3 linked regions of the Saccharomyces cerevisiae S288C genome follow. The gene in region 1 interacts genetically with each later gene. Each region holds a gene or a part of one and is shown on either strand. Other genes may lie near its edges. The genes, in order: BEM3, HRI1 and CBT1.

Region 1 (10,807 bases):
TTTTTAATTTATTTTCTTTTTTTGTTCGTAAATTTATGTATGCATGTGCTTAACTAAAATAAAAAGAGAATGCTTATTTTGATAAAAGGGATGATGATATAAACTACAATAAGGTTTCACCCAATGCACACCTTGCAATGGCGCAACCTGCAGAGATGGTGTTTGAAACATGGATATCATGAATAGCCAGATCAGGGTTACATTCAACAACGTCTAGCGCAATTAAATTACCGGATTCGGCCAATCTTTCCACCAAGAAAAGACCTTCTCTCAAGGTCAACCCACCTCTCACTGGAGTACCTGTAGCAGGAATGTATAATGGGTCTACACCATCGACGTCATAGGAGCACATAATGGGACCTTCACCGTTTGTTTCTGGGTGCACGGCTTTCATTGCCATTTCAATGACAGCGTTGATGCCGTATTTGTCAACGTGGTACATGGAAAAGGCGGCGATACCCAGATCTTTCAAGATTTTCTTTTCTCCGGCATCAACATCTCTCAACCCAATATACGCGATCTTTTTTGGGCTCAAGTTGCCTGGAACCCATTTGAGCGACTCGGGACAATGTGGGACATCCTTGTTCAAACCCATTAGGAATGACACGGGACAGCCGTGCAAGTTTCCAGAGGGGGTGCTTTCTATGGTGTTTATATCAGCGTGGGCGTCTATCCATAAAAGACCAGCATCGGGGTATTTGTCCAAAACCGCGGATACAGTACCAATGGCTATTGAATGATCACCACCCAAGGTCAAGGGGAATCTGTTCGCCTGGACCACTTTCGACACGGAGTTGTACACCAACTTGGTGGCTTCACCAACCAAATCTGCTCTTTTAGCCTTGACACCGTCTATCATAACAGAGGAACCCCCAGTTGTGGAGTCCTTCTCCATTTTCAACTTTCCCACAAATTGGGCCTCGTCCATTGAGGGCTCTAATTCCGTAGACCAGCCCAAATCCTCTATGCTTGTTTGCAGACCATGCTTAAGCATGTATTTAGGGCCCTTCTCGACACCAAGCTTACCCTGACCGCCGCTGAATGGAGCCAGAACGATGGACAATTCGCGATTTTTGTAGTAGTTGTAATGAGGTCCTGTTTCCATCTTGATAGTAGTTATTGTTATTGATATAGTTGTTGTTGTTGTTTCTGCTAACTTTGAGAAAACATATACAGACCAAGAGAAGAGAAACAGTCTTAGATCTTGATAGAAAGTGGGCCGCAAGCTCTGCTTATATACTCTTTAGACCCCTCGGCGGCTACCGCTAAGTGAAAAATTCAGCGAGCGGCGATGCGCTGTTGATTGCCATTAGCAGCACGGTGCTTTGCGAAGGGCAAGAGCTAGAGACTATTCGCACTAGCCGATATTTTCGCGGCGTCTCGGCTTCTTGTAAGGGATAGAAAAAAACTGTTAATGGAAGGAGCAATCAAAGGGCGGGGATCGCGGGCGACGGTGCGGCATCGAAAAAGTGAAGAACCAGTAAAAATAGAGGTGGGGTTTATCAGTGTTGATATCTAAGTTTATGATAAACATTGATGAGTCAGGGATTGCACCCGTAGTTCATCCGTATGATGTGATGTTGTTTGTTTTTGTTTCATGTAAGGTTGCTAGAATAGGGTCCTGTCAGACAGTATGCGTAGCTTTACCATCATTTCGCCGCTATATGTGAAGGGCCGTAAATTGGATATACGGTATGTAAAAATCAGCGGAATATTATGATGAGAAGTGAGAAAATTGAAGTCAGTAATCTTGGATATTCAGAACTGTCAATCCTCAGTTTGGCCAATTTTATTTAATTTGTTAATAGCAGAACTTACCGGGCGGTCCAGTTTTGCCTACACGGTTTGGTATAAAGTTTAAAAAGCATATATACGAGCTAGATGAAGTATCCAATAGAGTTTTTCTCACGATGGTATTGGAATAGCTTCCTTGAAAGGTAACTACATACAGTGTCGAGGAAAAATAGACAATTACTTAAAGGAGTAAATGTTACTATACCTGAAAGAAATTAAGAGTCGCCATGCGTAGCAGTAATCACAACCGACATCGGGGAAGAGTGAGGGGAGCAAATTGGATGTAAATATTTTGGTGAATTTGCTCGGTACGCGCTAAACTCACATGATTTAGCAGCGCCGTGGCGCAGTGGAAGCGCGCAGGGCTCATAACCCTGATGTCCTCGGATCGAAACCGAGCGGCGCTAAATTTATTTTTTTCTTTTTACTCTTCATTTTTTTTCCAGGTCGGTGATAGTATATGAAATTCCGGTGGGATTGGGCTTATTATTTCAGGTTATATAATTTTTGAAATACGTTTTTCTTCTTTCTTCTCAGAATCATCGGTAATTTGTATGCTGGAGAAAGTAACAAATAGAGTCGATATCCTCAACTTCCCTGTAAGTCTTCACCTATAGAAACTGGTCGTAAAACAATGAGTCAGTTTGGCACGACAGATATCGTTTCCGGTTCAGAAACACCACCTTATTCTGGGGCAAGTTACCAGGACGCCCAGGATGACAATACCCATCCACATTCATCAGACGCCGGTGCAGAGAAGTTCAGTGCAGGCAGTGGAAGCGAGTCGCATACTGAATCCTCGAGAAGTGATGATGAGGATTCTCAAGCAAAAACAAAGATGGTGGATAATATTACCATCTTAAAATATATATTGGATTCTCTATCTGGTAGAGACAAATTAGCCAAAATTATCAAATACGCTCTGGATATATTAAAACTGTTTATCGAAAAGTCTAAGCGAAATTTAACTGTTTTGGACCCTTCCGTATTAACGTACTATACCAAGATTTTGAAAAATCTGACTGTAAAAGTCGCACTAAGGCATCCAATCACGGTAATTAAAGTACTTCTCCTGTCTCTTTTGAGAAATTTTGACAAGAAAATTGATTTTATCAGTCAACAATTAAGTACTTTTAGATATATTTTAAGGTTTGGCGGCACACCATTCCGAGTGTGCAGTTTCTTGGGGAAATTCAATAAAACCAGAAAGTGCAACTTTCAAATTGACCAAATTAAGAAAATATGGTTTAATGAAGCTTCATTGAGAGAATTTTTGGACTTGTATTATGGTATCTTTGATGAATTAGACTTGCTATACAAATTGAAAATATGGACAAATAAATCATTCTATTCCTTTGTCAGTAGACAAGAGTCTCTTGCATGGCAATACGACATTCTTTTAAGCTTGAAGGACCATTGGCTCAACCTGCAAAGCTTACAGAAGAGACAATTAGAATTGGAAGTGCAACTAAAAGTTCAAAATAACGCGTTACTACTCTCACCCATACTGATGCATCAGGCCCATAAAGACGATGGCTCACAATCGCCAATTAGGAAACAGTTGTTAAATGACCTAAATGTTAATAACGACGCAGAGGTGTTAATACACAAACAACTAAAGGCCATCAAGGATGAAAAGACACTTGTTTATTTAGATATTGCAAGATTATCGTTTGATTGCATGGCTAATACATCAGATATTCTAAATTTAAAAACTCCAAAGGGAACGTATGCCGTTCTGTCCCTGGGATCCGGCTTAACTGGACTGGTTAAACTTTGGATAACAACAAAGAGGTCACTTTGCTCTTCAAAAGATTGATATATAAAAATATGTATACATATAGATATGTACATATATATGTGGCGAATAATGTTTTACCTCTGCATTTGTATTGTTATTTGATTCGTTGAATAAGATAGTTTGGCGCTCGGTTTTTGCTCTTTTTCTTCCGTTTTTATGTCATTGGGGTGGCGGTAGTCATTCCGTTTTACGGTATGTTTATTCTGACACTTTGACGCAGATCTAAAAGGTGGAGTGTGGAGTACAAATAGCTCTCTCTCAAATACAGAAAAATACTTGAGTGTACAAAAGTAGCAACCTTTAAATAACAATGATTACTTCAATTGACATAGCAGATGTAACTTATTCTGCCAAACCAAGAATTTTGGTGCCTTATAAAACCCAATGGGAAGTCGCCAGTCATCTTCCTGAATATCGCAAACTGGCAGAAAGGGTAGAATTCTATAAATATGAGATGTCCACAAAGGATGATTTTGTTAAATTTTTGGAAACTCATAGAATAAACGGCTTTTGGCTCACTGAGGAGTTTTTCACTGTGTTAGGAAACCCTTCGAGTTATATTGAATTCTTCCCCGCATCTTTAAAAGTAATCCTTGTACCATGGGTCGGCTGTGACTTTATTGACGGTAAGTTATTAAGATCGAAAGGTATCACTTTATGCAACATTGGACCACATGCTGCTGACCATGTCACAGAATTGGCTATTTTCCTAGCAATTAGCTGCTTTAGAATGACTTCATTTTGGGAATATTGTTTTAAATACGTGGAAAATGGTAATGTTGAACAGTGTAAGAAATATATCTCTAGTGACTCGTATGAAATTGTTACAGATAGTTACCACGGTCAGGAAATGAAATTTCCCTCTCGAACAGACAAATGCAAGCCTAACAAGGATAGGAAAGTGGTACATTTAGCAGAAAAGTACACGGTTGGCGGGAAAAAAATGGAATCTCCAATGAATAAAAAAGTTCTAATATTGGGGTTTGGCTCCATCGGACAAAATATAGGGTCTAACTTGCACAAAGTGTTCAACATGAGCATTGAATACTACAAAAGGACCGGTCCCGTCCAAAAGAGTCTACTTGATTACAACGCTAAGTACCATTCTGATCTAGATGATCCAAATACTTGGAAGAATGCGGATTTGATCATTTTGGCCTTGCCCAGTACGGCCTCTACAAACAATATTATCAATCGTAAAAGTTTGGCCTGGTGTAAAGATGGTGTCAGGATAGTTAACGTTGGGAGAGGCACATGCATAGATGAAGATGTGCTACTAGACGCTCTTGAATCTGGAAAAGTGGCAAGCTGTGGTCTCGATGTGTTTAAAAATGAGGAAACACGCGTTAAGCAAGAGTTACTTCGCAGATGGGATGTTACAGCTTTGCCACATATCGGCAGCACAGTTGCCGACATGGTCATAAAGCAGACACTCATCACACTCGAGAATGTGCAGGACATATTTGTCGAGGGAGGTGATGGTAAGTATGTGCTCAACTGAACCATTCATTATGTTACAAAGATAGCATTTCAATTAGGATTACATACGTATATGCATTGCTCTTTATACCACAACTCTAAGAATGTCGAAAGTTATATGGCGGCGGTGATGTTGGAAAAAAAACGCGGCCGTTTTATAAAGAACAATAATCGTCTGACTAGGTAAAGTACCAGATAAGAACCGTTTTTATTGCGCGTATTGGTATGTTTTTTAAACGGAATTTTTCAAGATTGTTAAATACATCAACGATATATCCATTTTAATCACCGTTTACCTTTGTGTGTTAGCTTTGTATCTGGAAGTTTTTTCTCTTTTCTTCTTTGTCCTTGCCTTCTACCATTTTGCCTTTTGTTCGAGTTCGTGATTACATCAGGCATATACAACATCACGTTTGTTGAAACACTGGCTGCTAGGAGTATCTGTGTGTATATTCTAGAATAAACTCACACTCAACTAACAGCACGCAATGACAGATAATTTGACCACAACTCATGGTGGTAGTACCACCCTTGAATTGTTGGCGCAGTACAATGATCATAGATCCAAAAAGGACAAATCTATAGAACATATAGAAAAAGGAACATGTTCAGGAAAAGAAAGAAATCCGTCCTATGATGAAATTTTTACGGAAAACATTAAGCTAAAGCTACAAGTCCAAGAATATGAAACTGAAATTGAGAGTTTGGAAAAGGTTATTGATATGTTACAAAAAAACAGAGAAGCTTCCTTAGAAGTTGTGCTTGAGCAAGTTCAAAATGACTCAAGAGATTCATACGTTAACGATCAATCATTTGTGTTACCCCCAAGATCTGCTGAAAGGAAAGCGCATATCAAGAGTCTTAATTTGCCAATACCGACATTGTCCCCTCCATTGCAACAAGGTTCAGACGTTGCACTTGAAACAAGTGTAACGCCTACAGTACCTCAAATAGGTGTTACATCAAATACTTCAATAAGTAGGAAGCATTTACAGAACATGATACTAAACGATGAAATAGAAGCAAATAGTAGCTTCTCATCTCCCAAAATTATCAATAGATCTGTCTCAAGCCCTACAAAAATACATTCAGAACAGTTGGCTAGCCCAGCTGCCTCTGTTACCTATACGACGTCTAGGATAACCATAAAATCACCTAATAAAGGTTCGAAATCTCCATTGCAAGAACGTTTGCGTTCCCCTCAAAATCCTAACAGAATGACGGCTGTTATCAACAACCATTTGCATTCTCCATTAAAGGCCAGTACCTCTAATAATTTAGATGAGCTGACTGAAAGTAAAAGTCAACAACTAACTAATGACGCGATACAAAAAAATGACCGCGTTTATTCTTCTATAACATCCTCTGCATACACTACTGGAACTCCTACTTCAGCAGCCAAAAGTCCATCATCCCTTTTGGAAGTCAAGGAGGGTGAAAACAAGGCTTTGGGTTTCTCTCCAGCATCTAAAGAAAAACTTGACGACTTCACCCAATTACTTGACTCCTCATTTGGCGAAGAGGATCTAGTCAATACGGACAGTAAAGATCCTCTGTCCATAAAATCCACGATTAACGAATCTTTACCCCCACCTCCAGCGCCTCCAACTTTTTTCTCACCTACTTCTAGTGGAAATATAAAAAACTCTACTCCTTTATCAAGCCATTTGGCTTCTCCGGTTATCTTGAATAAAAAGGATGATAATTTTGGTGCTCAAAGTGCAAAAAATTTAAAGAAACCTGTGTTAACTTCATCACTCCCCAATCTTTCTACAAAATTGTCAACAACAAGTCAAAATGCTTCTCTTCCTCCAAATCCTCCCGTGGAAAGTTCATCAAAACAAAAACAACTTGGAGAAACGGCATCCATCCATTCAACCAATACCTTGAATACATTTAGCTCAACACCCCAAGGTTCGTTGAAGACACTTAGAAGACCTCATGCAAGTAGCGTGAGCACCGTGAAGTCTGTGGCCCAAAGTCTTAAGTCGGATATTCCATTATTCGTTCAACCGGAGGATTTTGGCACTATCCAGATTGAAGTACTGAGCACATTGTACAGGGATAATGAAGATGATTTATCCATTTTAATTGCAATCATAGACAGGAAATCCGGTAAGGAGATGTTTAAATTTTCAAAATCTATTCATAAAGTTCGCGAATTAGATGTATATATGAAATCACATGTTCCCGATTTACCATTGCCCACGTTACCTGATAGACAATTATTTCAGACTTTATCACCTACAAAAGTGGATACGCGAAAGAACATATTGAATCAGTATTATACAAGCATATTCAGTGTCCCTGAATTTCCCAAAAATGTTGGTTTAAAAATCGCCCAATTTATTAGTACAGATACAGTAATGACACCTCCAATGATGGATGATAATGTGAAAGACGGATCACTTTTGCTGAGAAGACCAAAGACTCTAACAGGTAATAGTACATGGAGAGTTCGGTACGGTATTTTGCGCGATGATGTTTTACAATTGTTTGACAAAAATCAGTTGACTGAAACTATTAAATTGAGACAATCTTCTATAGAACTTATACCCAATCTCCCTGAAGATAGATTTGGAACGAGAAATGGGTTTTTGATCACTGAGCATAAGAAAAGCGGACTGTCAACCTCAACAAAGTATTATATTTGTACTGAAACGTCGAAGGAACGTGAATTATGGCTTTCTGCGTTTAGTGATTACATTGATCCTTCACAAAGTTTATCGTTATCTAGCTCGAGGAATGCAAACGATACTGATTCTGCATCTCACTTGAGCGCAGGAACACACCATTCTAAATTTGGAAACGCAACTATCTCAGCAACCGATACTCCATCATATGTCACTGATTTGACCCAAGAATATAATAATAATAACAATATTAGTAATAGTAGCAATAACATTGCTAATAGCGATGGTATTGACTCAAACCCATCTTCTCACTCTAACTTCCTAGCAAGTTCAAGCGGGAATGCAGAGGAGGAGAAGGATAGTAGGAGAGCCAAAATGAGAAGTTTATTCCCTTTTAAAAAATTAACCGGCCCGGCGAGTGCAATGAACCATATAGGTATTACAATTTCAAATGATTCGGATTCTCCAACATCTCCTGACTCTATCATTAAGTCACCAAGCAAAAAATTAATGGAAGTATCCTCTTCGTCAAATTCTTCTACGGGTCCACATGTGTCCACTGCAATATTTGGCTCGTCACTAGAAACGTGTTTAAGATTGAGTTCGCATAAGTACCAAAACGTTTACGATTTACCGAGTGTAGTTTATCGTTGCTTAGAGTATCTTTACAAAAACCGTGGTATCCAGGAAGAAGGCATATTTAGACTAAGCGGGTCCAGTACAGTTATCAAAACTTTACAAGAAAGGTTTGATAAAGAGTACGATGTAGATTTATGTCGGTACAATGAAAGTATTGAAGCTAAAGATGATGAGGCATCTCCAAGTCTTTACATTGGTGTGAATACTGTAAGTGGGTTACTAAAGTTGTACTTGAGAAAGTTGCCCCATTTATTATTTGGTGACGAACAATTTTTGTCGTTTAAAAGAGTAGTTGATGAAAATCATAATAATCCTGTTCAAATATCATTGGGGTTTAAGGAACTTATTGAATCTGGCCTAGTTCCTCACGCTAACCTATCGTTGATGTATGCTCTTTTTGAACTGCTGGTAAGGATCAATGAGAATAGTAAGTTTAATAAGATGAATCTAAGAAATTTATGCATCGTGTTTTCCCCAACTCTAAATATTCCAATTAGTATGCTTCAACCATTCATCACTGACTTTGCGTGTATATTTCAGGGTGGTGAACCAGTTAAAGAAGAGGAAAGGGAGAAAGTAGATATACATATTCCTCAGGTTTGATGGTCTAAAATTGTAGAAATATAACGTTGCCAGTAAACCTCCATTGATTTAATGATAGAAAGAGGGCGAGATGTATAGAGGCTTCTTTCTTTCAACGATATATTTGTAATAATAAAAAAATGTCAGGCTGATAAAGCTTATAGAGTGACTGTCTTTTTATTCCTCAAATGTTATTTACAATACCATATAATAAAATTAGTATATTGTCAAATAAAATAAGAGAAAAAAACTAACTTCTTGACCAAATGGTCGAAGAGCTGAGATAAAGAAGGAAAAAAATTAAAATTACTAACTATACAAGGAAATATAAAAATAGAAAAATTGTGTTACTAAATACAAAAAAGTAATATATGCGTCACTTCTTTAGTGGGTTCAAGACAACATTATATATGCATTGGTATCACCATCTTCCACCACTTCTTGTTGTATGTTTTCTTGAAACATGAGAAATCATTGATATATCACTATCGTCATAAGTTGGTGTATTTGCGTTTTGAGGCTGTCTTATGCGATGCGGTTTCGTATTGGAGGGAATTTTATACATTCCATTACCTTGTAGACGGCGTTGGTGCGAGTTTTTCCAATTTTTTTCTTTTAGCTCATGGTCTGAATCTTCATCACCTTTTTTTTCAATTTCTAAGGTCTCCAAATGTCTAGAAATATCATCAATGGTAATATCCTCCACCGTGCGATTGAAAGTTTTGTTCAATTCTTCATCGTAAACGTATTCTTCATCTTCATCCTCACTGGAAAATTCTTGTTGCAAAAACGGAATTTGGGTTTCAGCTGCTCTATTATTTGACGAGAGCTGCTTGACCTTGGTATCGCTTCTAATTTCCCTTTGTTCCTGTTTTTCCGTGCTTCTCGGCTTGTTTTCATGAAGTTCTTTTTCTGGGGAAGCGTTGCTTCTATGAGATCTGATTATTCTTTGAGCAATTGTCGACGTGGATGCTGGTTCGACAGTAGCCTTTAGTAGAGAATTAGAAGGTGCGCTGTTAACTGCGTCTTTAAAAATGATATCATCGAATTCCGGTATCATTGCTCGTCCCAGCCTGATAACTTCTTCTGCCCATATTCTTATGACATCTTTTGCTCTTTTTGTCTTATAGGGTTTCCAAGCCGGTTTGCAACCACGAACAATCTCTTTAACGACTTGTTCAGACCCCCATTCTTTAACCCAATCTTGGTTTTGTAAACCGATCAAATGTGCGAAAACACCAGAACATATAGCTTTATCAGAATATCCACCCTCCATTAGAGACAAAACTTTGCCATGACAGTGCATTTGTGCTAATTTCAATGCATCTTTGGTGAACGTTGTATAAAAACTTGTAGGAACGTTGACACTATGCCTTTGCATTGAAGTTTGCTCAAATTCTGATGCATCGAAACCTGCGCTTATGACAACCAAACCTTTGAATGGTCTCCCTTGTTGATTCATTTCTAGTTTTGCGCTCCTGAAAAATTCATCTGCTTTAGCAAATAAAGTTCTATATTTTGTCCTGTATAATACATTGAATTCTTCTTCGGTTGTCCATTTGGATAAGTGAATATTCCAGATGTTTAGGTCATGAGAGTTCATGATACAGGTAGATGCATTTTTAATGTTCTCCTTTGTGGCAAATCCCGACTCTGTTGGAAATGAATTTATATCATGCATAGAAAAATAACCGACTTTGGGAAATTCGGCAAATTTCTTACCAAAATCATCATAAGATGAATCTTCAGGTTCCTCCTCAGGTTTGAAACCCGCACGTTTCCAGCAAATGTCTTGGGTCCCATCACCGTGGTGTAGATCGAAATCAAGCACGACAACATGCGTGACGTTGTAAGTATCATACGCATATTCTATGGCTAC
Region 2 (10,314 bases), on another chromosome or scaffold:
TTCAAACCTTGGGATGGTAAGGATGCTAAAGACATGCCAATCTTGATTAAGGCCGTCGGTAAGACAACTACTGATCATATTTCTATGGCTGGTCCATGGTTGAAATACAGAGGTCATTTAGAAAACATTTCTAATAACTATATGATTGGTGCTATTAATGCTGAAAACAAGAAGGCTAACTGTGTTAAAAATGTATATACTGGTGAATACAAAGGTGTTCCAGACACTGCTAGAGATTACAGAGACCAAGGTATCAAGTGGGTTGTTATTGGTGATGAAAACTTTGGTGAAGGTTCCTCTCGTGAACACGCTGCTTTGGAACCAAGATTCTTGGGCGGTTTCGCTATCATCACAAAGTCTTTCGCTCGTATCCATGAAACTAACTTGAAAAAACAAGGTCTATTGCCATTGAACTTCAAGAACCCAGCTGACTATGACAAGATCAACCCTGATGACAGAATCGATATTCTGGGTCTAGCTGAATTGGCTCCAGGTAAGCCTGTAACAATGAGAGTTCATCCAAAGAATGGTAAGCCATGGGATGCTGTGTTGACCCATACTTTCAACGATGAGCAAATTGAATGGTTCAAATATGGTTCTGCCTTAAATAAAATTAAGGCCGATGAGAAGAAATAATGAAAACATTGTTATAATCTTTTAAAGGTTATTATTTATTTTGTCTTCTGTACACCGTACCCTTGTTTATCTTTTCTGCCTTAAATTTAATGACGTTCGGCTGGAGAAGTCAAGACTATGAAATATATCTCGTAATTTATGATCGTATATTATTTATTTATTGATTGTTTTATTGTTTATTTATTTATTTAAGTACCCCTATTGTACGTACATAAAAAAGCAAAACTTTTATATTATATTGTTGCTGATTATGTACTCAGTTTAACGAGGATTAAAAAAAAAAAAAAATTAAGTAATAAGTGCACCGTCTGTCAGACGGTCGAATTTAAAAATAAATGGTCTCTAGCGGGATCGAACCGCTGATCCCCGCGTTATTAGCACGGTGCCTTAACCAACTGGGCCAAGAGACCAAACTTTGTTGAATGTTGAGCAAGTTAACATCTTATAGGACATATTAAACTATGACGACATTGTTGCAAATAAAACACTATTGATTGCTTAAAAGGGCAATCCGACTATATCTGAGACGAACAAAGACACTGTTGGAATAAAAATCCACTATTGTCTATCAACTAATACTTATACTATCAATATATTATAATAGACGGCGTTAGATGATGACATAAGTTATGAGAAGATGTCATCGAGGTTAGAGGAAGCTGAAGTGCAAGGATTGATAATGTAGTAAGAATGTGAATATATCACATAGAATCACCAATTCCATTTTATGGATTCCTATACCACGAGGAGAACTAGTATGTCCTGGCTATCTAATATTATGGCCTCTAGCAGCAACGAAATGCCAACAATTAAATCCAAGTTCACCTATTCTGACTTTTATATTTAATAACTAACATTTTTATCAACGATGGAATTCCAACAGCTTTACTAATCTTTACTTGTAATTTGGCTTTTTAGATCTATAATATTTATTGTATGGAAAGTAGCATCCAACCAAATCCCGCGAAGTTTTCCTGATTTACATAACAAGCAAATACTAAAAACGTTAACACACATGTGCTTCTTTATTGTAAAGAAACCTCCATCATCCTCTTTTGTAACTTGGTCCTACAATAAATTTATCCAGTGTGACAGCTTTATAGGAGGCGTAAAGTAGTCTCATGAAGTAGATGAGTCTTGTTCACCATATTTTTCTTCTCGACTGCGAATTAACACTGTTCTTTGATGTTAGAACAATTTAGGTTCAAAGTACGAGTCACGACATGTAACAAGGGAAAAAAAGGATATTCATTTCAATAAAGTTCGTTTTATAAAAGTATAGTACTTGTGAGAGAAAGTAGGTTTATACATAATTTTACAACTCATTACGCACACTCATGGTTTTTGGCCAGCGAAAACAGTTTCAAAAGATTGCTGGAAGTCTGCAATAATGTCATCAATAAATTCGATACCAACAGAGACACGAATTAAGTCCTTGGTAACACCAGATGCCAACTTTTCTTTGTCATTTAATTGTTTGTGGGTAGTGAAGTATGGAGCAATGACTAAGGTCTTGGCATCACCAACATTGGCCAAGTTAGAGGCAAGCTTTAAATTGTCAACAACTTGAGCACCAGAAAGTTTGAATGGGTCAGTTTCCTTGTCGGCATTTGGTAAGTCTTTTACACCGAAAGATAAGACACCACCGAAACCGTTAGATAGATACTTCTTAGCATTTTCATGATGAGAATGAGATGCTAAACCAGGGTATGAAACCCAAGATACGTATGGGGATTGTTCTAACCATTTGGCTAACTTCAATGCATTTTCACCGTGTCTTTCAGCTCTCAAAGATAATGTTTCAACACCTTGTAGTAGCAAGAAAGAGGCAAATGGGTTCATCAATGGACCCAAATCTCTTAATAGTTCAGTTCTAACATGAACGATGTATGCCAAGTTACCGTAGGCTTCATTGTAGATAGTACCGTGATATCCTTCGGCAGGTTGAGAGAATTGAGGGAACTTTTCTGGGTAGTCCTTCCATGGGAACTTACCAGAGTCAACAATAATACCACCGATAGTAGTACCATGACCACCAATCCATTTGGTAGCAGAATGTGTTACAATATCAGCACCGTATTTAATTGGCTGACAGAAGTAACCACCGGCACCAAATGTGTTGTCAACGACAACTGGAATACCGTGTTTGTGAGCAATTGCAACAATTTTTTCAAAATCCGGAACATTGTACTTTGGATTACCAATGGTTTCCAAATAAACAGCCTTGGTTCTTTCATCAAAGACCTTTTCGAATTCTTCTGGATTGTCACCTTCAACAAATCTAGCCTCGATACCAAATCTTTTGAACGAGATTTTGAACTGGTTATAAGTACCACCGTATAAGTAAGAAGTGGAAACGATGTTGTCACCAGTGTGTGCCAAACCTTGGATGGCAAGGGTTTGAGCGGCTTGACCGGAGGAAACAGCCAAAGCAGCAGCACCACCTTCTAAAGCAGCAATTCTTTCTTCCAAAACATTACTGGTTGGGTTTTGGAAACGGGAATAGACGTAACCTGGAACTTCTAGACCAAACAATTGCGAACCATGCTTAGAGTTTTCGAAAACATAAGAAGTGGTGGCGTAAATTGGTACAGCTCTGGATCTGTGAGCATTGTCACCAGGGTTCTCTTGGCCGGCGTGTAGTTGAACAGTATCGAAATGAGATGGCATTGTATGGATGGGGGTAATAGAATTGTATCTATGTATCTGACGACCCTGTATTACACGAAGGAAATAGTAGATGAAAAGACAAGAGAGCAAGAAAAAGGAAAAACTTCCTTTCTAACAGACGCTTTACTTAACCTTATATATATCTTATTTTTTTCATCGAGCGTGTTCAATTGGACAAGGTGCCACCTTTTCGACACTTCGGTTATTATGTTACACAGTTTTCATGAGGATGGCGCCTTGACTAACTTAATTAGTCATTTGCCAACCACCACAGTTCCCCAATATCGACAGCTTCACGTGCCATTTGCCATTTTGCGATCATGTGACCTCAAGAGAAAAAGCAAAAAATAATGAGAGCTAAGGGATTCGAACCCTTGCATCCGAAGATATCAGAGATTTTAGAGGTTAAATCCACCTAAATCTGACGCCTTAAACCACTCGGCCAAACTCCCATTGTATGTTGGAAGAATTGGATTTAAATGTCTATTATAGCATTAAATATCTTTAAATACATTCAAGAAATGGCGAAATTATTTCTTAGTGTTGGAATAAAAATCAACTATCATCTACTAACTAGTATTTACGTTACTAGTATATTATCATATACGGTGTTAGAAGATGACGCAAATGATGAGAAATAGTCATCTAAATTAGTGGAAGCTGAAACGCAAGGATTGATAATGTAATAGGATCAATGAATATTAACATATAAAACGATGATAATAATATTTATAGAATTGTGTAGAATTGCAGATTCCCTTTTATGGATTCCTAAATCCTCGAGGAGAACTTCTAGTATATTCTACATACCTAATATTATTGCCTTATTAAAAATGGAATCCCAACAATTATCTCAAAATTCACCAAATTTTCACTTAGGTATTTTCTTTTATAAAGTCTATCGTTATAAAAATACTATATAGATCCCATAGGTGCTTATTATAGCAGCAGAAGAAAGTAGAAAACGATTTATTCTCCTTTATTAAGCGTGATATTCAATAACTTCCCAGTTCAACCCATTGCTGGTTACAGTGGAACCTTTCTTCAAATTTTCGTAGCTTTGTGGAATTTTGTTTACTTCCTTACCGTAGCTTAATAAGAACTCAGATTTACCTGAATCTTTTTCAAGTAATCTGATGAAGTTCAAGCCTTCAATAGTGTTATTATTCTTTTGGGACAAAAACCCTTGAATCCATCTACCAATAACAATAACCAAACCATCATAAGCTTCGTCAGTAACTTTGAGGACAATTGACCTAGCATTCGACGAGAACTTCTCATTGTTTGGTGAGACGATGACTAGATCTTCTCTTGATGGGTCAACTGGTTGCCACAATTCTCTGAAAGAGACGCTTTCTTTGTCGGCACCGAATGGGTAAACAGCGCCTGTTTCCTCGACACAACCAGAATCCCAATTTTTCCAAGTGGTGTTCACTTCGCCACGATGGGTGTTTGGAACGTTCAAGTACACATTTGTATCCAACCAGAAATTGAAATCTTGAGTAACGACACCGTTTCCTTGATCATTAGCTTTAACTGTTTCGTTTGTACCGGCAAAGGCCCATTCGAAAGGAAAAGATAACTCATCACCGCTTGGCTTAACAAATGGTCTCAAGGAAATATAGTGCCCATCAGTTGAAACAGAGGATAAGGTGAATGTTCTTTCGTTTGGATGAGGACCCACTTGAAACAATAATCTTTTTAATAATGCTGGCATTGTAACTTAATTTTTTGTTTGTTGTTGTTTAAGTTCTTTTATCCTTCCTTAGATAACACCTTAAAGCTCCAGTTACAACAGCGGTGAGAATTGACTTTATATTCGGGGCACTTCCGGTTGTTTTACGAACATGTGATTCGGAAATTTTATGCAAGACGACACGGAACGGAACGTATGCCGGCGGAAAAGCTCACGTGTGAAGAAGAAAACAAAAAGAGTAAGCTGGATTTTCTTTTTCGGAGATTCTGTAGAATTTTTTTATTAGTGCAATGAGGTAAAAAGGAAACTAATATTAAATTCTGAAGGTTATGTTACATAGTTTTTATTATTATTATCGTATATTCTATAAGTGTACCATATAAAATAATGTCTTTACTTAGACTTAAGTGAGAGATCTCTGTAAAATGTTGGATAAAAAAGAGATAATGAACTAAAAGGGGTAGATAAATTAACGTTCTGTTAAGTTTTGCTGATGAAAAATAACATTAGAAAATTCAGCTAAAATGAGCGGACTGAGGGCGACTTAGTTAGAAATTGTGCCACATTGGTTTGGATACTTTCTGTCAGTCAATGGTTGAGGGAATAAACCATTGAACATCAATCTTTGAGCATCCCATTCCAAACTAGATTCTGTCTTGTAACACCAGATAATCCAACCCCCTCTCATTTCAAAGGCATCTAGTTGTGCCTCCACATAACGTCTTGTGTTTTCCTTTCTTTCGTCAGACCAGTAAGCTATATCATCGTTGTTAGCACAAGAGCCAATGTAAGAAGATGTTTGGTCACCATTGACCCAAGAACCGTCGTATCTAGCGCCGAAGCCAACACTATTCAACCATTTTGTACAATCAGTCAAAGCGGCAGCAAACTCACCACAAACAGTCCAGTGGGATTCATTCAAAACTCCGGTACCCCATTCACAAGCTACTTTAATATGTTCATCAATGGATCTTTCCAATTGATCAGAAGCAAAGACTTGGTAGTGATGATGGTCGATAGTGACACCCCAGTAGCCATCGTTTTCAGTCATGAAGTCATCCCAATAATTGTATGGTTGGAAAGCGTCATGGATGATGATAACTTGGTCACTCTTGATGTTGTTTCTCAAGTATTCGTAAGCAGGTGCCAAGTAGTCATTCTTCATTTTATCCATGTCTAGAACAGGACCCAATGGCTCATTAATCAATTCGATACCAATAACAGTGTCCAAGTATTCCTCCGCAGAGTATTTTTTCAATATGTAGTTCAAGACATTTGTAGTAACGGCCAAATTGCTGTCTTCCAAAAACTTGTATGAATCTCTCAAACCAGAGTTATCAAACCCGTTCTGCGAACCAGCGGCACCATGCAAATCAACCCAAACTTTCAAGCTGTTGTTTCTAGCCCAACCGATGGCTTGGTCTAGGTAAGATTCCTGTAGGCCGCTAACATAAGGATCATCGTCCAAAGTTTGGAAAGCCCAGTAACCGATAGGAATTCTGACAAGGTTGAAACCTTGGGAAGCAATATTAGCGAAATCTTGTTCTTGGTAGAAAGTAGACCAATGGCTCTGTAAACGGCTTTTAGCCAAATCCTTACCTAAATATTGACAGAAGTGATATTCGTCGACAGGAATTCCTTCGTCGTTGTCATCATTTGTACGGAAAGCCTCGAACAAAGATGGAGTAATGTATGGTTCAAGAAGTAACCAACCACCAATGTTGACACCACGGATTGGTTCTCCGAGGGAACCGTGGTCATAATCGTAGTATCTTTTCTTGTTCTCCTCATGAACAAATTGAATGGAAGAAGGGTCTCTTGCAGGGACTGGGGTAGCGAGTACTGATGACACAGTCAACAACGTACACAGTAACGTTTTAAGCGAAAGCATTTTAGTTGGTAATTAACTAGAAAAAGAAAGTAAACAAAAAATCAAAGGCACGTGTTATTCAAAACTTTTGGGTCCTCTCGTAAACTTTAGTTTTCTATAGTTATTTTTGACTTAGTCAATACATAATAAAAATTACTAAGAAAAGGGAGGGAGTATTTAAAACGTCTGCAAAAACATTACTTTTTCCCAAAAATCCATCCAACTTATATACATTTTTTATCATCCACGCCTTTTTATTTAAAGTGCCTTTCTCTGCAACTGCTCATATGACGATATGAGATGGCAAGTTCAAGTTTGTTACACCGCTTATTGATGTGCACACAGGTACGGAACACGCTAAAATTATAACGGCGTGCTCGAGAGAAAAACCCAACAGGGTTGGTCTGGGCATCTCCAGCAAGCCACGGTTTTAAATTGACAGTGCTTCACACTGCGGTGTTGTCTGGGGCGCCTCTGTATTTGCGGCAACGCGCCTGGTTACGGGCTTGTCTCAGGCTCGTGTGCACCGCACTGTAAACACAGGGAGGATGACTGGGTCAGGTCCCCACGGTTTATTTATAGTAAACAACAATGCGCGTATGTGTGCGTATTAATGCTATAAAAAGAAACGCGCAGTATCAAGCCATCAGATTTTTTTAATAATGGTAAATACGTATGCTGGCATCGTTCCGAAGTCGCGTCTCGGCTGCAAGGTAGGGAAACTTACTGAAAAAGGCAAAGCTCGCATGATCTGGATTTTTTGTTTTGTTTTAAGGGCGTATGCCCTTTGTTAATGAAAAGTAAATATTGATTCTTTAAAAATAAACGCAAGCCCAGTATTTATTTATATACCACAGAAGCAGGCTCCCTACATTACGTACTATTATCTTGAACTATATTACAGTACCATTCTTACCCCACATCTTAGTATACGGAGGAGATTCCTCTTTTTCTCCAATAGTCACTCACCGCATGCCATTCTCCCCTGACATTGCGTATAGCATTAACTACGCTCTTGGGAAATACTTCTTTCATCGTATATCCCATTTCCTTGAGAGTGCTTAGTACGGCTTTACCGATCATGGGGAAGCTTTCCAGTTCTATGCGGTCGGGCAGTAACTGGTGGTGTATACGTGGATAGGCTATCGTTTCCAATATAGGCATGTTATACCAGTACGTCCTCACAATTGTTTGTAAAACACTCGTAGTGATTCTTGAGCCGCCGGAAGCGCCGACCACGAGGTCTGGGATGCCTAATTCTGACAGCACAATAGTGGGTGCAGTGGATGATAGGGGTCTTTTCCCGGGCTCGGGAAAGTTGTATATGGAGGGTGCCAATTCAAAACTATTAGATTTGTTGAATTGAGCGAAATCGTCCATTTCATTATTGAAGATCACCCCGGTTTTTGGGTCGTGTACTAAGGAACCGAACAACAAGTTGATGGTGGTTGTCAAGGAAACAGCATTCCCATGTGAATCTACTATACTGAAGTGGGCAGTTCCATGCGGGTTATTGATATCGTATGCCGGATCATAAAGCGTCCAGTTTTCTAAAGTTTTAAAATTTCCGTCTTGAGAGTTTCTTTTGATTGATTTCACTGCTTTCAAAGCCCATTCTGGATCCAATACCTCTTCTATATGCTTAGGTAATGCTTCGCCTTCAAAATCGCCTAACCTGCTTCTTGCGCTTGCCATCCATTTCATGCTTTCAAGCAAATGATAGGTAGTTTCTTTTTCATAATCGCCCCCTTCTTGATTCTGGAAATTATCCATTATCCTTAACGCCGCAAGTAGTGCAGCCCCGGAACTTGAGCCGCTACTTGTTAATACGGTCATATCGTTATCAGGGATGAAATTGGCGCCCTTCCTAATTTTCATGGACAGTGGTTTAGTAACATGAACATCATACGATGAAACATCCTGCAAGTTCATTATTCCATTGTATTTTGCGACAGTATCAATCATGGATTTTGCAATCCAGTGATCGGGGTCATAAAATGGGGCCACGGAACCATTTTTAGCCAGTTCCATTAGCATGTTAGATAGTGCCGGCCTCTTGATCCAATCGCCTTCTTTCAAAACACCGTCATGGGTAGAATTCAATACAAACGACCAATCTTCCTTCAATGTCAGGAAAACATCCTCATAAAGTTCTAAAGTGGCACCGAGTGCTTCGCCTATTTGCCAACCCACGCTTCCCAGCTTTGCGACTGGTTCAATTAGATCACGCCAATCAACTTGGCCGCTACCTCTTTCTTTAAAGAGGCGATAGAGACCCATCAATTCACCTGGAACACCGACAGCAAGACCCCCTATTTTTGAGCATAGAGAGCAGTTTTCGAACATGAACTTATGTGAATCCATGGGTGCTTTTTCTCTAAAATCAATGGATAGATGATCTTCATCGTCTTTGCCAGAAAAAACTACGTAGCCACCACCTCCAATCCCACTATTAAAAAAATTCACCATACCCTTACAAAGAGCTTGTGTTACTGCAGCGTCTGCAGCGTTAGAACCGGGAAATTTCAGGAGTACCTCATTTATAGTCAAATTACTACAGACTTCTAAATCTGAACTTATAGCACCATGCAAACCGACTTTTAGAAGTTGCCTATCAGGCGTTAAACTAGGACGGCGAGGTAAAGGGTCAATATCGATGTTATGGTGATCCTTATCGCCGCCATCATCATCGTCGTCTTTTTTCAAATATTCTGCAATAATGTCAACATCTCGATTGGCAGACCCTCGAAGGAGATTATTTATTCTCTGCAAAGTCTCCTGAGAGGCGAATGATACCATTTTTGACGGCATTCCGGACACTAACACACCCAGTGTTAACAGAGTGAATATATGCAGTATAAAACAGGTATTTAAAGTCTTGGGGACTTTTCTATTACACAACAGCATAACTGTAAGTCTAGTACGCTACTTTTTGTCTTGTCTTTTTGTGTGCCTGACAACGCCCCACTTGAATCTGCGTTAGCTTTTTATTCTATTATTTAAGATAACTGTGCAACAGGAAGTCACGATCGAACTTTACGGAAGAATTATAATATTGAGAAGTGCTAGTACACACAGGCGCACACACACATATATATATGTATCTATATACGTGTATGTAGATTTGGAAGTCGAATAGATAAATGCCGTTATGTTCCCTCAGAGAAAATTGATAAGCGGGCAAAAGGCGGCACTAAGACGTTCGAAGGGGCGGATCTTTTCTTTTGATCAACAACAGGCACAGCCGCTGAGTAATATAGTTATGATTTTTCTAATCTCATGTAGGTAATAAAATCTTAAAAGTTATTTTTATTTTCACTCTTTTATATGTGAATAGAGACACTTGTATAGAGATAATAAACGGTTCAAACTCTTTTCACTTTCATATGTTCCACACAGTACCTTATCATTGAACACTAGATTTCCGCAAGTGTCAAGGTAC
Region 3 (10,078 bases), on another chromosome or scaffold:
ATACTTATATCGACAAGCTAAGCGCAAATACTACTTTGTGGTACATCATCAGCATTGCTTTCGAGAAAACAGCATTTAAAATCAGCCATTTGCTGCGCTTTCTTTAAGCCCTAACAGAAAATAGTTCAAAAAGGCCTATAAGAAGCAAAAAAAGTGAAAAATACGAAAAAATACTCCAGCGGAGGAGTATAAAAGGGAGGAAAATACAAAATGTAGTTGTGTTGTTACGCATCTCAAAGAAGAAAGAAGAAGAAGAAGAAGAGGACGTCGCACTTGCAAGCAAAAACAGCGACTGGCGCGAGAACAACAAACACTAATGCATGTCTCTGTCCAGCAGGAAAAGCGAGCCTTAGTGTTTCTTATTTTCTCGTTCGCCTCACTAGTTTGTAGTAGGGTGGGAGAAACGATGGAGTGGATTGTATGATGAGGAACCAGATAGGGACAACAGATTCTCAAGTGACGAGGAACATCTTTTAAAGCCCAGTTTTTAGTAGAGCTTAGGGCGCCTTTACTGACTATCCACTCCTTGTTAAGCTATGATCTTGTATTCATGTGATTGTAAATAATATTAGAGCTCTTTCTTGAATTGCCATTACGCTTCCATGCGGCATATTCTCGTGTAGTGTGACAAAAGGTGCGGGTGGCAAATAAAGGTAAAAGAAAATGATCAAAAAGGGCCTTTAAGTAGGATGAGCAACCGCCAATCGCTGGATATAAGCAAACAAAAAGTAAGATTAGTAGCAAAGCAAAGAACATATAACTATAGCTATGAGCAGCAATAATAGTGGTCTCTCTGCCGCCGGAGAAATCGATGAAAGTCTTTATTCTCGTCAACTTTATGTGTTGGGTAAGGAAGCAATGTTGAAAATGCAAACCTCCAACGTATTAATTCTCGGCTTGAAGGGGCTAGGTGTTGAGATAGCGAAGAACGTTGTGTTGGCAGGTGTCAAATCTATGACCGTTTTTGACCCTGAGCCGGTTCAATTGGCAGACTTATCAACCCAATTCTTTTTGACCGAAAAGGATATTGGTCAAAAGAGAGGAGATGTGACCAGAGCCAAATTGGCAGAGTTGAACGCATATGTCCCGGTTAATGTGCTGGATTCCTTAGACGATGTTACCCAATTGAGTCAATTCCAGGTCGTTGTCGCTACGGACACTGTTTCTTTGGAAGATAAGGTGAAAATCAACGAATTTTGCCATTCCTCCGGTATTAGATTCATTTCCTCGGAGACAAGAGGGCTGTTTGGTAACACCTTCGTAGACCTAGGTGACGAGTTCACAGTGTTGGACCCAACGGGTGAAGAACCTCGCACTGGTATGGTTTCAGACATCGAGCCCGATGGAACAGTGACCATGCTAGATGATAACAGACACGGGTTGGAAGACGGAAATTTTGTCAGGTTCTCCGAAGTAGAAGGTCTTGATAAGTTGAATGATGGGACCCTTTTTAAAGTTGAGGTTTTGGGGCCCTTTGCATTCAGAATTGGTTCAGTCAAAGAATATGGCGAGTATAAGAAGGGCGGTATCTTCACCGAAGTCAAAGTACCCCGTAAAATCTCATTCAAGTCTTTGAAACAACAACTGTCCAATCCTGAGTTTGTTTTTTCGGATTTTGCTAAATTTGACAGAGCTGCTCAATTGCATTTGGGATTTCAGGCTTTACATCAGTTTGCCGTTAGACATAATGGTGAACTGCCAAGAACAATGAATGACGAAGACGCCAATGAATTAATCAAGTTGGTCACCGATTTGTCCGTTCAGCAACCGGAGGTTCTGGGTGAAGGTGTAGATGTTAATGAAGATTTAATCAAAGAGCTTTCCTATCAGGCAAGAGGTGACATACCGGGTGTCGTAGCATTTTTCGGTGGCCTTGTGGCACAAGAAGTGTTAAAAGCATGTTCTGGTAAATTTACTCCGCTAAAGCAATTTATGTACTTTGATTCCTTGGAATCATTGCCAGATCCTAAAAACTTCCCAAGAAATGAGAAGACTACTCAGCCAGTAAACTCTCGTTACGATAATCAAATCGCGGTTTTCGGTTTGGATTTTCAGAAAAAGATTGCCAATTCAAAGGTCTTTCTTGTCGGATCTGGTGCCATTGGTTGTGAGATGTTGAAAAATTGGGCACTTTTGGGGCTTGGTTCTGGCTCCGACGGTTACATCGTTGTTACGGATAACGATTCGATCGAAAAGTCCAACTTAAACCGTCAGTTCTTGTTTAGACCAAAGGATGTCGGAAAGAACAAATCTGAAGTAGCGGCAGAGGCCGTTTGTGCTATGAACCCCGATTTGAAGGGCAAGATAAATGCTAAAATTGATAAAGTGGGGCCAGAAACTGAGGAAATATTTAATGACTCCTTTTGGGAAAGCCTGGATTTTGTCACCAACGCTCTAGACAATGTCGACGCAAGAACATACGTAGATCGCCGTTGTGTGTTTTATAGAAAACCACTGTTAGAATCTGGTACCCTAGGTACTAAAGGTAATACTCAAGTCATCATTCCAAGATTGACTGAATCATACTCTTCTTCTAGAGACCCACCAGAAAAGTCTATCCCATTGTGTACCCTACGTTCTTTCCCAAACAAGATTGATCACACCATTGCCTGGGCCAAATCTCTTTTCCAAGGTTACTTCACTGATTCCGCCGAAAACGTTAATATGTACTTGACACAACCGAATTTCGTTGAGCAAACACTAAAGCAAAGCGGGGATGTCAAGGGAGTTCTAGAATCCATCTCAGATTCTCTATCTAGTAAACCACACAATTTTGAAGATTGTATCAAATGGGCAAGGTTAGAATTTGAAAAAAAATTCAACCATGATATCAAGCAGTTACTGTTCAACTTCCCCAAGGATGCCAAGACTTCCAACGGTGAACCATTTTGGTCCGGTGCTAAGCGTGCTCCAACACCATTAGAGTTTGATATTTACAATAACGATCACTTCCATTTTGTCGTAGCAGGTGCTAGTTTACGCGCTTATAATTATGGTATTAAAAGTGATGACTCTAATTCTAAACCCAACGTGGACGAGTATAAGTCCGTCATCGATCATATGATAATTCCAGAATTTACTCCAAATGCCAATTTGAAAATTCAAGTTAATGACGATGATCCGGATCCAAATGCCAACGCGGCTAATGGCTCAGATGAAATTGATCAGCTGGTATCATCCCTACCAGATCCTTCTACTTTGGCTGGCTTTAAACTGGAGCCTGTAGATTTCGAGAAAGACGATGACACTAATCATCATATTGAATTTATAACGGCTTGTTCTAACTGTAGAGCTCAAAACTACTTCATCGAAACTGCTGATCGCCAAAAGACCAAATTCATAGCTGGCCGTATTATTCCTGCCATCGCAACAACCACTTCTTTGGTTACTGGTTTGGTCAATTTGGAATTATATAAACTGATTGACAACAAGACAGATATTGAGCAATATAAGAATGGCTTTGTTAATTTAGCTTTGCCATTTTTCGGTTTTTCGGAACCAATTGCTTCACCAAAGGGAGAATATAACAACAAGAAATATGATAAAATTTGGGATAGATTTGATATCAAGGGAGATATTAAATTAAGTGATTTAATTGAACATTTTGAAAAAGATGAAGGGTTAGAAATAACAATGCTTTCTTATGGCGTTTCTCTTCTTTATGCCTCATTTTTCCCTCCAAAGAAATTGAAAGAAAGACTAAATCTACCAATAACTCAATTGGTTAAATTAGTGACTAAGAAAGATATTCCGGCACATGTATCTACAATGATTCTCGAAATTTGCGCAGATGACAAGGAAGGAGAGGATGTTGAAGTTCCTTTCATTACCATTCATCTATGAGTAACTAATTAACCAAAATAAAAAAATAAATTAAATATATACATTAAATATGTATATATATATGTATGACTTTTGACAACTTTTTCTTTGGTAAAAACTTATTATTATTATTATTATTATTATTATTAATGTAGTCTCGAATATTTGAGTATGTTTTAGTTTTTTGTTTTATATTTTCTTTGGGTTTAACTGCTTTGGTTGGAAACAATTTGGAATAATTCCCCGCGATTATTATATAAAGTGTCGAAGTTACCTCGCTCAACCACTTTACCATCTTTAAGAACTGCAATCGAGTTACAAGACCTCATCATTTGTTCACTATGCGTTATAACCATTGTTAGTAGAGCAGGTGGACCTTTTTTGACGATCTCATTGATGATAGAGGAGCTGACAGAATCCAAGGCTGAAGTACACTCATCTAAAATCAGAATTTTTGATTTTCTCAGAAGTGCTCTGGCTATGCAAAGCCTTTGCGCTTGTCCACCTGACAGTAAAGTTGTATCAATACGTGTATCCAAGCCCTGAGGTGATGAAATTACAAAGTCATGGATTCCTACGTATTTTAATGCATCATACATTTCAATTTCAAGTATTTCATCTTGTAAACCATAAGTTAGGTTATCTCTGATGGTTCCATTGAATAATAAAGGTTTTTGCTCAACCACTGAAATTTCTTTTCTTAAACTTGTCAAATTCCAGTCATTTACGTCCGTACCGTCTATTTTAATTTTGCCTACTTCACAATTATAAAGTTTTGTTAATAAAAGCACAAGTGTAGACTTTCCTGTGCCTGATTCACCAATGATACCTAACGTCTGTCCGCAAAACATGTCAAAATTCATGTTTTTGTAAACAAAGGCGGTAGGTGCAGATGGATAGGCAAATGTCAAATTTTGAATTGAAACGATTGGTTTTTTTTCTTTGCCATGGTAGGTGTGACCAGCTATTCCCACTGTTCTAGCATTATTGTTTTCAACCTCTAGGGTATTATGCTTTTCATCAAGAATCCTATAGATCCAACTGGCAGCACGTTGGCCTCTACTTATATCGGGTATCTGACTTACTAGGCTAGTGCATGACATAATAGTGAATAATAACAAAGTGAAAGTCGTAAACATTTCCTTTGAGGTGTACTCGTGAATCATAACCAGCTTTAGGCCATAGTAGTAAATAATAGCTTGGATACACATGACAATCATGTTTGTCATAGATATACCAAATCCTGTGGCAATGGCGCGTTTGGAGGCAATTTGTTGCATTTTTATCTTCAAGTCATGGTAGGTCAATTGAAAATGAAATTCAGCTTGTAAGCACTTAATGGTTTTAATGTTAGTGACAATCTGGTACAGGCAGTTTTCTAACTGAGCAACAGATGTCTTATAATCTGTTTCGCATTTTTGTAAAATGCCTCCATATATTGCTGAAAATATAATTATGAGTGGAAACATCGAAATACAAACCAAACTTAACTTCCAGCCCGATACTAACGCCCAAATTAGTCCAATCGTTGATACGGTAACGAAACTAGTCATTGCACTCAAAAATTCAGAGACCAAAGACCTCAAATCTCGCAAATCATTCAAGACTAGAGCAGAAATTTCAGAAGCCTTGTTGTTTTCACCAGAAAACCAGTCCATATTCTTTCTCGTCAGTTTTTCCATAACTTCATTTCTAAGATCCATAACCCAGTATTCACTGCAGCAATCTAATAGGAATCCTTTAGCAAAATTGAAAATACCATCTGCCGCAGCCACACCAAGAACAAGAAGCGACCATTTCGCCAAATAATGTGAAGAGCCAGTTTTTCCATCCGTGGATGGGACAATTCCTTCTAGTAAGAAACTGAATGTGTATGAAAAGACGGGATTTGTGGCGCCTGCGATAAGAGAACATAGCAGTCCCAAGATTAGAATTTTTTTGTATCTTATGCTTTTAATCATTCTTTTGATAATCTGAATAATGCTCAGAAGTTGTGGCCCTGTTGAACTTTCGGTGTTCTTTTGTTGTTTTAGTGCATACCCAATATTTTCCTCTTCAACTTTAACCCTTCTTGTTCTAACGTTCGATCTTTTTTGATAGATTGCTTCGTAAAAGGACAACTGATCTGTCTCATCATATCCCAGATTACTTAAGCATGATCCAAGTTTTGGTGTTTCCAATTGAGAGTTAAAACTTTCCACAGTGTGTATAGATTTTTCTTCAGTCTCTGTATCTACAATAGTTTTCGCATCAGAGTAGTCATTCTGTAGGTGATACCATGTGCTAAATGTAGTGGTCGGATCGGCTAGAAGTTCAGACTGGGTGCCGCTTTCAACAACTTCACCTTCCTTCATTAAATATAAATAGTCATCAGATTCAATTTGGCTCAACTCATGCGTCAATATGATTGTAGTCTTTCCTTTCCTCCAATGCCTAATTGCCTTCATCAACAGGTTGCGATGAACAATATCTAGAGCCGATACAGCTTCGTCTAAGAATAATATTGGAGTATCTCTGATGAATGCACGTGCTATAGCAACTCTTTGTTGTTGCCCGCCACTTAGTGTGACACCCCCAGTCCCAATTAATGTTTCCAGTCCATCGGGAAGGTCTAGAATAAATCTATCCAGAAGAGCCATTTGACAGGCATCTTTGATTAAATGTCTATTTTCATTGGTGCTGCAATCGGCATTTCTTACCGAATCTGTTGAACCTAAAAGAATATTTTTTCTAAGAGTATCATTAAATAGGGTACAACGCTGTTCTACGACGGTGATATTTTCAATTAGCAATTTTTGGTCGATTGTTTGGATATTGTGGCCATTGATAGATATCGATCCATTATAGCCATCGTAGAACCTTAATAATAAGTTGGATAATGTAGATTTACCTGAGCCTGATTTTCCTACTATGAAAGTAAATTGTCCTGCAGAGAAATTTAAACTAACGTTCTTTAAAACTGCTTCCGAAGGTCTGCTTGGATAAGAAAACGAAACATTAGCAAATGTTAGATCACTGGTGGCATAATCTAGTGGAAATTGGTGGGCTACAGTTTTATTTAAAGGATTTCGCTTGGATCCATCTTTTAATAGAGTCATGATTTTTTCCATAGCCACTCCGCCTTTTTGAAGAACAACTATTTGGTGTAATGTATTATTTAAAGTCGAGCCCAGCATAATGCATGAATGGAAGCAAGTGATTACATCGTTAATGTTCAGCTTGCCCTTTTTGATCATTGCGGAACCAAACCAGAATCCCTGTACAAACATAGTCAACGTCAAAAATCTCAAGATCCCAGCGTTTGCAGCAACAAAAAAGCAACTCTTGATGAAGAAAGTGTTACAATTTAGTATGATTTCCTTGAATTTTTTCCTTTCTAGACGTTGTGTACAATATAATCTCACTAATTGAGCGGCATTCATCGACCATGTAAGTAATTGGGCTGCTTTACTCGTTTCAGAATTCTCCTTCTCTGAATATACATGAATCATTCTGGAAAACACCACTGCAAAAAATGTGATTATTGGAGAGCTGCAAAGAATAATTAAAGTTAATGACCAAGAATAGTAGAATGACGTCCCCAGAAGCGCACATATTGCAACTAAATTCTGGAAAGTTATGGCTGATGCCTCTGCGGAGCTTGATCTTAGCTCTTCCACACATCTGTTGATTTGAGTAAAATCTCCTAACAATTTTTCATTATTGTCGTACCATTCCATTGGCTTTTCCTCCAAATATGCCTCCAATATCTGTGACCGTATTCTAAAGCCTTGTCTCTCGCCGATGTGCATCCAACTTGTTAGAGAAAGCCACATTACTGGCACAGAAGCCGCACCAAGTGCCATTACTGCCATTGACCTCTGTACTAGTTGGGAATACAAACCTTGATGTGACCCATTAGCCACGAAAACTGATAGTAGATCGAACACTCTGCCCGTCAGGATAGAAGTAATTGCCGGCACTAGGCCTGTTGCCACGGTACCTATTATCATTATCATTAACAGCCTGTAGTCATTCCGTATGTTCACGTACCTGAAAATGTGATAGTGTTTTGTAGTCTTAAAACTTAAAAAGTTCATGACGTAGCTTGTTCTTTGTTTCCTAGTGGAATTTTCAGCGGCACTTGAAAGCTCTCTGTGTGAACGTAACAACGGGAGATAGTTCAGCCATATCCAGGTTTATAAGCTCTGGTATTTAAATGATGAACGGCAATAATGCAACAGTTTTCATATCTGAAACAATTGTATATGTGCGAAGCAGCGTGTAAATTTCCCTATTAGGTAATTACATGGCAAAAAAAATAAGAAACTATTTTCTTAAAGTACCTTTACCCTTTGTGGAAAACAATAAATTGTATAGTGGCAGAATAGAGAAAAGAAAAAGGAAAGGAACATATTTGTCAGTGCAAGGACCATCATTGTTTGAAAAAAGAGAGGATATTACTAGTAGGTAATAACAGCTATGTCGCGTTATATATATTATATATAAAAATTAAAAAATAGAAAATAAAATTTCAAATGCCCTCTGTGGGAATTGAACCCACGATCCCCGCATTACGAGTGCGATGCCTTACCACTTGGCCAAAAGGGCTGAGTAATTTTTATACCTGCTAAATTTGTGGCTCCGCTATACTTTACAGATTTATCTATTTTGAAGATGATACATTTAGCAAAAATGACCTTAAAAATGAAGCAGGTGCCATTTGCCTATAGCTTGGAAAAGTAGTAATGGTTATTCAAAAAGTTAGCAGCGAGATCTTTTTTCTATCGCGCGTTAAAACGTTTGAACAGATATATATTATTCAGCCACAACTATCTATATATAATATTTCTTCGATTTTTCGTTTTCTCAAGTTTCGTCTTATTGATTGATCAGAAGTTTACTGCGCTTTTGGGTAAAGAAGCATTAAACAAAGGAGAGAGAAATATTGCAAGGAAAAAATGGTGAGCTATGGAAGTCATAGTAGTGAGGTTTCGAAAGTTCTTAAAACGCCGAAGTTTGTGCTTAGGTATGGAAATGTATCCAGCAAACAACGTTTTGCCCTAAAGCGGAAGATAAATTACAAACTACGTGAAAGCAAATATCAAGAATACTTGAATGAATACAACACCTTCGTGCTTTACGACTGGGAAAACAGTGGCGCTGGTAGTCTTGTCGATTCTTCCTACAATCTCCCCTCTTTATGGAAGGAATTCATAACAGAGGGCATATCTAAAGGAGCAATAAACGACAAACTACCGACAGTCTTTATGAAGAGGAAGTTGACAAACTCAGCGTTGGGTCACTGTTTGGGACTTGATTTCCTGACTGATCCGAGCGAGTCAGAACATGAATACAGGTGCATGTTTCAGACAGTTCAGGACATCCCATCTCTCTCGCAACTGATCTTATTCAACAGCATGCCAAACGTTCCAGTAAGATTGAAATTGCATACCATTGGTATAAATATAAATTTCGGCTGCAAACGTTCCCTGATAAGCAACGGTGGTGATCAAGACACTGAAATGAGCGAAGCAGTCTCTTATATCCAGCCTTTATTGGAAGAATCCTCGAGAATGTACCGCAATTTAAACTACTGGAAGCTGTTAAAAATAGCACGAAATAACAAGAAGGATGAACCGTTGGATCAGAGCACGCGTATCAAGTCGCAAGTTAAGCTTTTACTGAGTCAATTGGCGACGAACCGAATTACCTCACCTTCCGTCACGGATCATGGGGGTCACAACTGGCTCATATTCACCAGAAGACGGTTGTAAACGATAAATATGCCATAAAGATCTGCGAACTGTACATATCCATATATAATGCGTATTATTTGGTGACTATAGCACTGGCTTCCGCCATCTCACTAAGAACGAAGAGGTATAATAAAGCATTGTGATGTTAAAGAATGACGATTAACCAGCATTTACAACAACTTCTCTTCAACAGAATAGACAAAACAACAAGCAGTATTCAACAAGCTAGGGCGCCGCAGATGTTATTAGATGACCAGCTGAAGTATTGGGTCCTGTTACCTATTTCGATTGTCATGGTTTTGACGGGTGTACTCAAACAGTACATCATGACACTTATAACGGGAAGCAGTGCAAATGAAGCACAACCAAGGGTAAAGTTAACTGAATGGCAATATCTACAATGGGCACAATTATTGATTGGAAACGGTGGGAACCTGTCTTCCGATGCATTTGCTGCGAAGAAGGAATTTCTAGTTAAGGATCTCACTGAGGAAAGGCACCTAGCCAAGGCCAAGCAG

The links.
Region 2: mutations in BEM3 (region 1) and HRI1 together harm fitness more than expected from each alone (negative genetic interaction), as found in Saccharomyces cerevisiae (2 studies listed by BioGRID).
Region 3: mutations in BEM3 (region 1) and CBT1 together harm fitness more than expected from each alone (negative genetic interaction), as found in Saccharomyces cerevisiae (2 studies listed by BioGRID).

What each region holds. Positions count from the first base shown.
Region 1 is NC_001148.4:330,242-341,048, reverse strand, and holds BEM3 (GTPase-activating protein BEM3), read left to right. Parts: upstream 1-5,562; coding exon 5,563-8,949; downstream 8,950-10,807. Other genes in the region: CAR1 (arginase), read right to left, coding at 104-1,105; PEX25 (Pex25p), read left to right, coding at 2,429-3,613; YPL113C (glyoxylate reductase), read left to right, coding at 3,906-5,096; HOS3 (histone deacetylase), read right to left, coding at 9,350-10,807. UniProt on the Saccharomyces cerevisiae protein: GTPase-activating protein (GAP) for CDC42 and less efficiently for RHO1. Negative regulator of the pheromone-response pathway through the STE20 protein kinase.
Region 2 is NC_001144.5:725,534-735,847, reverse strand, and holds HRI1 (Hri1p), read right to left. Parts: upstream 5,024-10,314; coding exon 4,289-5,023; downstream 1-4,288. Other genes in the region: aconitate hydratase ACO1, read left to right, coding at 1-636; bifunctional cysteine synthase/O-acetylhomoserine aminocarboxypropyltransferase MET17, read right to left, coding at 1,972-3,306; YLR302C (uncharacterized protein), read left to right, coding at 3,295-3,657; EXG1 (glucan 1,3-beta-glucosidase), read right to left, coding at 5,547-6,893; ECM38 (gamma-glutamyltransferase), read right to left, coding at 7,797-9,779. UniProt on the Saccharomyces cerevisiae protein: Unknown. Non essential.
Region 3 is NC_001143.9:38,395-48,472, forward strand, and holds CBT1 (Cbt1p), read left to right. Parts: upstream 1-8,762; coding exon 8,763-9,578; downstream 9,579-10,078. Other genes in the region: E1 ubiquitin-activating protein UBA1, read left to right, coding at 769-3,843; ATP-binding cassette a-factor transporter STE6, read right to left, coding at 4,029-7,901; ER membrane complex subunit EMC3, read left to right, coding at 9,800-10,078. UniProt on the Saccharomyces cerevisiae protein: Involved in 5'-end processing of mitochondrial COB, 15S rRNA, and RPM1 transcript. May also have a role in 3'-end processing of the COB pre-mRNA.